Nothobranchius furzeri: one gene and its partner. The protein of the gene in region 1 interacts with the protein of each later gene in a pairwise test. Links are inferred from orthologs where the notes say so. Each region holds a gene or a part of one and is shown in the gene's direction. Other genes may lie near its edges. The genes, in order: bnip2 and frk.

Region 1 (3,822 bases):
GCATATTTTTGTCTGTTTTAGGCTTTGCAACAAACCACAGCAAGAAGGCAAAGAAAAAACTCAGTGCTCCAGACATCAGCCTGACTCTTGACCGCAGCGATGGCTCCATCCTCTCTGATGAGCTGGAGGAAAGCACAGAGTTGGATCTGGATGCCATCGACACGCCGTCAGACAACAGCAATGAGTTTGAATGGGAAGGTAAGAAGTATATCACGGAAAACACAAATACCACATCTGCTTTGGCCCTGGAACTGTGGTTTTATCTAGCTTTGTTTTAGTTTCTGCTGTTAAAGCAAAATATGTAAAGACATCACTCCTTAGGTGAGCTAAATACTTGAAGGTTCCCCACTCTGAGTCCAGTTAGAAGAGAAGGCCAGGTATCTTTATCCATATAGCACATTTCATACATTGAGGCACTTTCCAGGAGCATGAACAGCTAAATCAACACAACAGCATAATTAAAATATCAGATGCACAAATTTAATTCAGATTTAAGAATCCGATAAAAGTTAAAGGGTGAGCAGTTACGGTGCAGCATAATAAACAGTCATTCATAGGCTGATGAATACATGAAAGTTTGAATTTAGATTTAAAAGTTGGGGCTCTTTTGTGGTCCTGAGGAAGCGCCCTGCTTCACATTTTTATTTGTTGAACTTGGTTCTTGCACCTCTAGATGATTTACAGGTTTACTTTGGCAGTTTGCTGCCTCATGTATGGTTAAATATGCTTTGTTGTGTTTGTGTTTCCACTCTGCCGCCTTCTTCTTTTTCACTTGGAAGAACCGCTTCCTTTGTCTGCCTGGAAACAGGCTGCAAGCCAGCAGCAGGTTTCTCTCCCCCGTGGGGTAAGGACTCTTGGACAGACTTTCTTCTTGTTTGATCTTTTGGAAAACACAAGTCAATCAGCGTCTGTCGTCCGATCATGTTTTCAGACAAATGCCTTTTTTCCCATCATTCCTTACTTCCTCTTAATTCAACTTTGCTTTCATATATATATATATATATGTTATTATTATTATTATTTTTAATTATTATTTGTTTGGAGTTTTTCTGTTCATGGGGAAATGGTATCACCTTGTCACCAGTTTAATAAATCAGCTGTTTTGATGTTTGTGAAAAATTAAAATTAATTTAATATTGCAAACATGAAATGAAAGGAAAAAAAACTGGAATCTACTTTTTTGCTGTTGCTGTGGCATAAAAAACAGCGCAGCATTGCTTGGAAAATGATGTTTTTACTTTAACCATCTGTTGTGTGGTCTTGGCATTTTTACTTTAGTAATAAAATGAGTGCGTATTTTCAAAATGAAAAGGAAATCTTAGCTTAAAGAACATGTTGTGTGATTTGCTTTCACAATTTTGGTTTTGATTCCTCTCGTTGCATGCTTGAAGTACCTGATCACTTAAGTACTTTGTTGATGTTGGGGCTGCATGACTTAATTTTTTTTAAAGTCGACAGTCAAGTAATGAAAATCGAGTCTAATTTGACTAGTCGTTGATGACGTCATACACCTGAAGCGGCGCAAGGGGTGGGGGGTTGGGGTTCGGTTGGTTCGCATCAGGCACAAATAAAAGACAGAAAACATAAAAGGAAATGAGCCGACATAAACGATTGCGTGTTAAATTTGTTTTTCAGGTGGCGACACCTGATGTTACTGTGGCTGTGCTCAGGACGCAGATGTCTGGAGCGCGTCAACGATCAGAGCTTTGCATGCACAAGCTGGTTAAGATTAGGATGGTGGTGAGGGGAAGGTTAAATTGTAAGATGGTAAAGGTCACAATTTAGTTAAATGTCCGTTTTACGGCGGGTGTCTGATACCAGTGCGTCGCCTCCCGACGCGCATGGGCTCGTCACCTGCTGTCTTTTCCAAGGACTGCATCTTGTCGGTCATTATCATGTGACAGCGACTAGTCGATGACAGGCATAAAAAGTCACTACAGAGCCGTGAAGTCGACTAGTCGACTAGTTCATACAACCCCAGTTGATGTTATGACATCAGTTTTATGAAACTATGCAGCTCTACGTTTACAAACAAAAGCGGTTTGTTGTGAAAGAACATCTTTGATTTTCATTGTGAATCGACAGGATTTTTGCCTTTTCTCTCTAAAAATCGCAAAGAAAGAACGCCGTATTGTGAATTTTGGTTTTTAATCTGGGGAAAAGCATGCTGCAGAGATGCAAAAGATCAAAACCAATCATTTGTTCAGTGCGCCCGATTGAACTGCGAATATTTGATTAAAAAACGATCGGATCTGGATTACAAGAGCTATGGGTGTTTAGCTTTTTGCTTAAAATGTATTTTCTTCCTCAGATGATCTTCCCAAGCCCAAAAGCACAGAAGTGCTACAGAAAGGTGTGGAGACGGTCCAGGAGTTATCCGCATCAGAGGAGCGGGAAGAAGGTCGACGGTGGAGGATTTTCCATTTTGGAGATCAGGACCACAGAGTGGATATGAAGGCTATTGAGCCCTACAAGAGAGTAATCAGTCACGGGGGTCAGCACCTTTTCATGTAGTTCACACACTAAACAAAAAAACTCTAAACATGTCATAATGTTAGCGTTTTTCTCTACAGGTTACTATGGCGATGGTTTGAATGCTATAATTGTGTTTGCCGTGTGCTTCATGCCTGAGAGCAACCAACCTAATTACAGATACATCATGGACAATTTATTCAAGTGAGCCCATTAGCCTCGTTTTAGTGCTTTAGCGATGACGCGTGAAGCTAACGACGGTTTCCTGTTTCAGATACGTCATTGGCACTCTGGAGCTGCTGGTGGCTGAGAATTATATGATTGTTTATTTAAACGGGGCGACTTCTCGTAAGAAGATGCCGACGGTCGGCTGGCTCCGAAAGTGTTATCAGCAGATCGATAGGAGGTGAGTCGACATCGTCTCATCCTTCTAATCAAGTAAAGCTTCGACTAAAGTAGAAAACCTGAGACTTTGAGCCATTATTTACTCATTATTTTTCTTTCAAACACAGGTTACGGAAGAACTTGAAGTCGTTGATAATCGTGCACCCTTCTTGGTTTATTCGGACCCTGCTGGCTCTCACAAAACCTTTCATAAGGTATCAGAAATGTTCAGGGTGGTAAACACAATTATTTATATTTGTTTAATCATTTTCTGCTTTTCTTTTACAGCTCCAAGTTTAGCCAGAAAATCCAGTTTGTGTTTAGCCTGACGGACCTCGCTGAGCTCGTTCCAATGGAGTATGTGTCCATACCAGATTGTATCAAACAGTAAGTACGTTGGAGCGCTGCTAACGTGTCTGAAGGTCTGCAAGCTAAAGTCACAGCTGTAACGGGTATTTAGTTACATTATTTATAGTAGATTGGAATCTACTCAAGCAAAGACGTTAATCATTTTTGTATTTTACACTCTTCCATCTTTATTTTACTCTTGGAAGCTGTGCTGTGTTTGCATTTTCAAATGAAACACGAGCAGAATTCACATCATGTTTAAAGTAACAACCTGAACTCATCTGTTGTCTTGATTGTTGAGGATGATTCACCTCTGAGAGAATTTCAAACCAAAGTGCAGAGCATTTACATTCAAGTAAAGTTCTCCCCTGTTCTCCATCCTGACTGTCATTGGGACCTCTGCTGACCTGGCTTGTATCTGAGATGCTTCGACCACTTGTCTGAAGGAGAAGATTGCTGTCAAAGTGTCCGAGGATTAAAATCGGATCAAAATGGGAAAGCTGAAACCTTATGTTTGGTTTTTTTGTGTGCTTTAGCAAAGCCTCTCAAACCAGCAACCTTCTTTTTCTAAAATCTAAACATTCTTTTTCTGAAAAGAGTGACCCTTAACCCTAAGAT
Region 2 (3,822 bases), on another chromosome or scaffold:
GAAACCGGCAGTCTGAGAGCGAAGTGCTCGGTTAGGAACTGTGGAACAATCAGGTCACTGATGTATGATGGAGCTTGATTATTAAGAGCTTTATATGTGAGAAGGATTACCTTAAAAATGTTGTATTTGATCTTCATTTGCAGCTAGTAGGGGTTGTATGAACTAGTCGACTAGTCGACTTCACTGCTCTGTAGTGACTTTTTATGCCTTTCAGCGACTAGTCGCTGTCACGTGATAATGAGCGACAAGATGCAGTCCTCGGAAAAGACAGCAGGTGACGAGCTGTGCATCAGGAGGCAACGCGCTGTGCCAGAGCGTCGGTACTGACGCCCGCCGTAAAACAGACATTTAACCAAATTGTGACCTTTACCCTCTTGCAATTTAACCTTCCCCTCACCCCCATCCTAACCTTAACCAGCTTGCGCATGCAAAGCTCTGAACGTTGACGCGCTCGAGACGTCTGCGTCCTGAGCACGGCCACAGTAACATCAAATCAGGTGTCGCCACCTCAAAAACTAATTTAACACGCGATCGTTCATGTCGGCTCATTTCCTTTGATGTTTTCTGTCTTTTATTTGTGCCTGATGCGTTTCCCTGCTGTGTAGCGGGGCGCATCACCTGTTTTGTCCTCCAATAACTTCACCTCACTGATGCGGTCGGCGAGCAGCGCGCACTCCGCTGTTTTTGCGGTCGGTAGATCTTTTAGAACTGCAGTTCAAAGGTAACTCATGAGGTGAATATATATGAACCCAGGTAGCAGTTTCTCTTTAGGACTGAGAGGAGATGCAGGAAGATAATAAACAGGCAGGACAGAAAAATAGTCAAATAAAAACAAGTTAGTTTTTGTACCTGCTGGTTGCAACAAACAGACACCATTGAAGGTAATCAGAAGTGAGGAACAGAAAATGAAATAATTATTTTAATGTTTAGAGCAGCAGGAACTCCGAGAGGCTGCAGGTGCACTGCGCATGGGGAGGGGGGAGCGAGCTGAAGTGGAGCAGTATAGATGCAGAAACTACCGCTGTTAAAAGATGTGTTTAACTTTGAAAATGTGGGCGCAATTTTAATTGTCAAACTCCAGCGACCCCCCCCCCCCCCCCCCCCCCCCGCGGCGCTTCAGGTGTATGACGTCATCAACCACTAGTCAAAGTCAACTCTATTTTGATTACTTGACAGTCGACTTTAATGAAAATTAAGTCGTGCAGCCCCTAGAAGCTACGAGCATTTAATTCCACTGATGCTCCTGATTTCAGCATTTTTAATATGTATAATTATTAACTTTTGTCTGGGATGGACCCATGTAATTAACATGCAGTTTCCAGAGCTAACTTTAGGGTCACATGACCTCCACAAACGTATAGTCTTAAAACTCACTGCTGCTCAGCGAAAACAAAGTCCTTCAGTGTCCAAACATCCAGACTCTGGAACCGAACATGAAAACGACACAAATGATGAACTTGAATAAAATATGCGGAAAAACGGGCTGAAGCATACCCATGGAAACATGTAAACGCTGCGCGTTCTGACTCAATAGCGCCGGCTTCACAGCTTCAATCAAATGGCTCATGCTCTTATTATTTAGTTCTGATATCTTTGTAGTCCTCATAGGCATGAATGAACAATTAATTATTACTCCGTCTGAATGAAGATCGAGGCTCTGTCCTTCTATTCTCATTTATCTAGCATTGATTAACAGGGGCTGCCTTTGGACACACATTGTCCTAGCTTGCCCCACCTTGCATGGATTACCCCCAAATTCCACTACCTCCGCTGCGGTCCGCCCCCGCCTTCTGCAGCCGCTCGCTTCCGCTCTACAACGGCTCCGCTCCGGTGCGGAGACCTGAGGTGCGCAAACAAGCATGCGCGGGATATTAGAGATCTTGCGATACAGTCCGAGCAATAAACGCGGAAGTTAGATCCAAACACCCGTTGTGTGGGAGAAGCATCGGCATGAACTGTTGAATCTGCCCATCATGTGTGTTGAGAGATCAGCAGTGTTTGGATCAACAAAGTGTGACTACTTTGATAGTGGAAACTGTATTTATGGCTTACTTTTGTGCATTTAAACTTCAGCCGCCATTGATAGTTGTTAAAAGTTGTTAAACCTGTGCATATGAAACAAAAAACGCCTTTTGTTTATCGATTTATTGTGAAAAACGGAAGTTGTGCTTGCTCCTTTTCCTGTTGGGCAGTTGTTATTTCTGTCCATTTACTGCGGAGGTGCTCCGGCGTCCGGCGAAAATAGGATCGATTCTATTTTTGCCGGACGCCGGAACAGAGGGCAGCGCACGGCGCCGCACTGCCGGAGCACGGCCGCAGTAGTGGAATTGCTCTGATTGACTACAACGGGACCGATTTTGTTCCGGCGTTCGTGTCGGAGCGGAGCGGAGGTAGTGGAATTTGGGGGTAAGAGGGGATTGAATCAACCTGAGAATCTTTCGTGGAGCTGGCCCAACTGGGAGAGAAGGAGAGCGCGTTGTCAAGCAGGTATTTATCAGGAGATCCCTGATGTTCTGATCTCGCTTTCTGAAATCCCCCCGCTCATGGAACAAACTGGAGTTCAAAATCCATAGTCGCCTGGTTTGTGAGGCTTTTGAGCAAACTTGGCTTGAATGATTTTAATCGGATTTTCTTCCGTATTAAAAGATGCTGTGTGTTAAACACTTGGGGACTAAATGGTTGGCTGTTAAACTGCTGCATAAAGCTGCATAAGGTGTTTTATTCTGGTTGCTGGTGCATTTTTTTTCTCCTTGTATTTCTTTAAACCACATTACATTAAATGAATGAATTTTGAAATGCAGGTGGTATTTTTCGGACACCAAAAGGCTGGATGCAGAGAAGATGCTGTTGGCTAAGTGGAACCAGTCTGGTGCTTTCCTCATCAGAAACTCCGAAGGTCGGAAAGGAGAGCTCTCTCTCTCAGGTGAGCAAAGGAAGCGGCAACTGTTAACAGATCGAGTCCACCAGTCTGGTTCCTGTGACCCCCAGCATTGATGCAGTCAGAGAAGGCAGGGAAGTCACTGCCATCGTGAAGTACACTGAACAAATATATGAATGCAACATTTTTGGTTTTGCTCCCATTTTTCATGAGTTGAACTCAAACATCTGAAAATTTGTCTCTATACACAAACGACCCATGACACAATTATTGTTCTGAAATCTGTCTAGATGCGTGCTAGTGAGCACTTTTCCTTTACCAAGATAATCCATCCCACCTCACAGGTTTGGCATATCAAGGAGCTGATTAGACAGCATGAATAATGTACAGGTGTGCCTTAGACTGCCCACAACAAAAGGCCACTCTGAAATGTGCTCGGTTTTGCTTTATGGGGGGTGGTGGGGCAGAAAACCAATAACTGATGTGGCCACCGTTTGCCCCATGCAGAGCAACACATCTCCGTCGCATAGAGTTGATCCGGTTGTTGATTGTGTCCTATGGGATGTTGGTCCACTCCTCAATAGCTATGAGAAGTAGCTTAATATTGGCAGGAACTGGAACACGTTGTCGTATACACTGATCCAGAGCATCCCAAATGGGTGACATGTCTGGTGAGTATGCTGGCCATGCAAGAACTGGGATGTTTTTAGCTTCCAGAAATGTGTACAGATCCTTGTAAAATGGGGCCGTTTGTTATCATGCTGCAACATGAGGTGCTGGCGGTGGATGAAGGTGGATGAATGGATGACATAACGGTGTACCTCAGGATCTTGTCATGGTACTTCTGTGCATTCAAAAGGCCATCAATAAAATGTGGTCCATAACATATGTCTGCCCGTACCAGTACCCCACCGCCACCATGGGCTACTCGTTCCACAACGTTG

The links.
Region 2: the proteins of bnip2 (region 1) and frk interact in binary tests that used the Homo sapiens proteins (3 or more experiments, as listed by UniProt). The two-hybrid records come from large-scale screens. The link is inferred for Nothobranchius furzeri from reciprocal best matches to the Homo sapiens genes BNIP2 and FRK.

The regions. Positions count from the first base shown.
Region 1 is NC_091744.1:67,577,651-67,581,472, reverse strand, and holds part of bnip2 (BCL2/adenovirus E1B 19 kDa protein-interacting protein 2), read left to right. Parts: intron 1-21; coding exon 22-198; intron 199-2,311; coding exon 2,312-2,494; intron 2,495-2,573; coding exon 2,574-2,676; intron 2,677-2,746; coding exon 2,747-2,878; intron 2,879-2,984; coding exon 2,985-3,071; intron 3,072-3,144; coding exon 3,145-3,243; intron 3,244-3,822.
Region 2 is NC_091743.1:89,682,601-89,686,422, forward strand, and holds part of frk (tyrosine-protein kinase FRK), read left to right. Parts: intron 1-2,801; coding exon 2,802-2,923; intron 2,924-3,822. UniProt on the Homo sapiens protein: Non-receptor tyrosine-protein kinase that negatively regulates cell proliferation.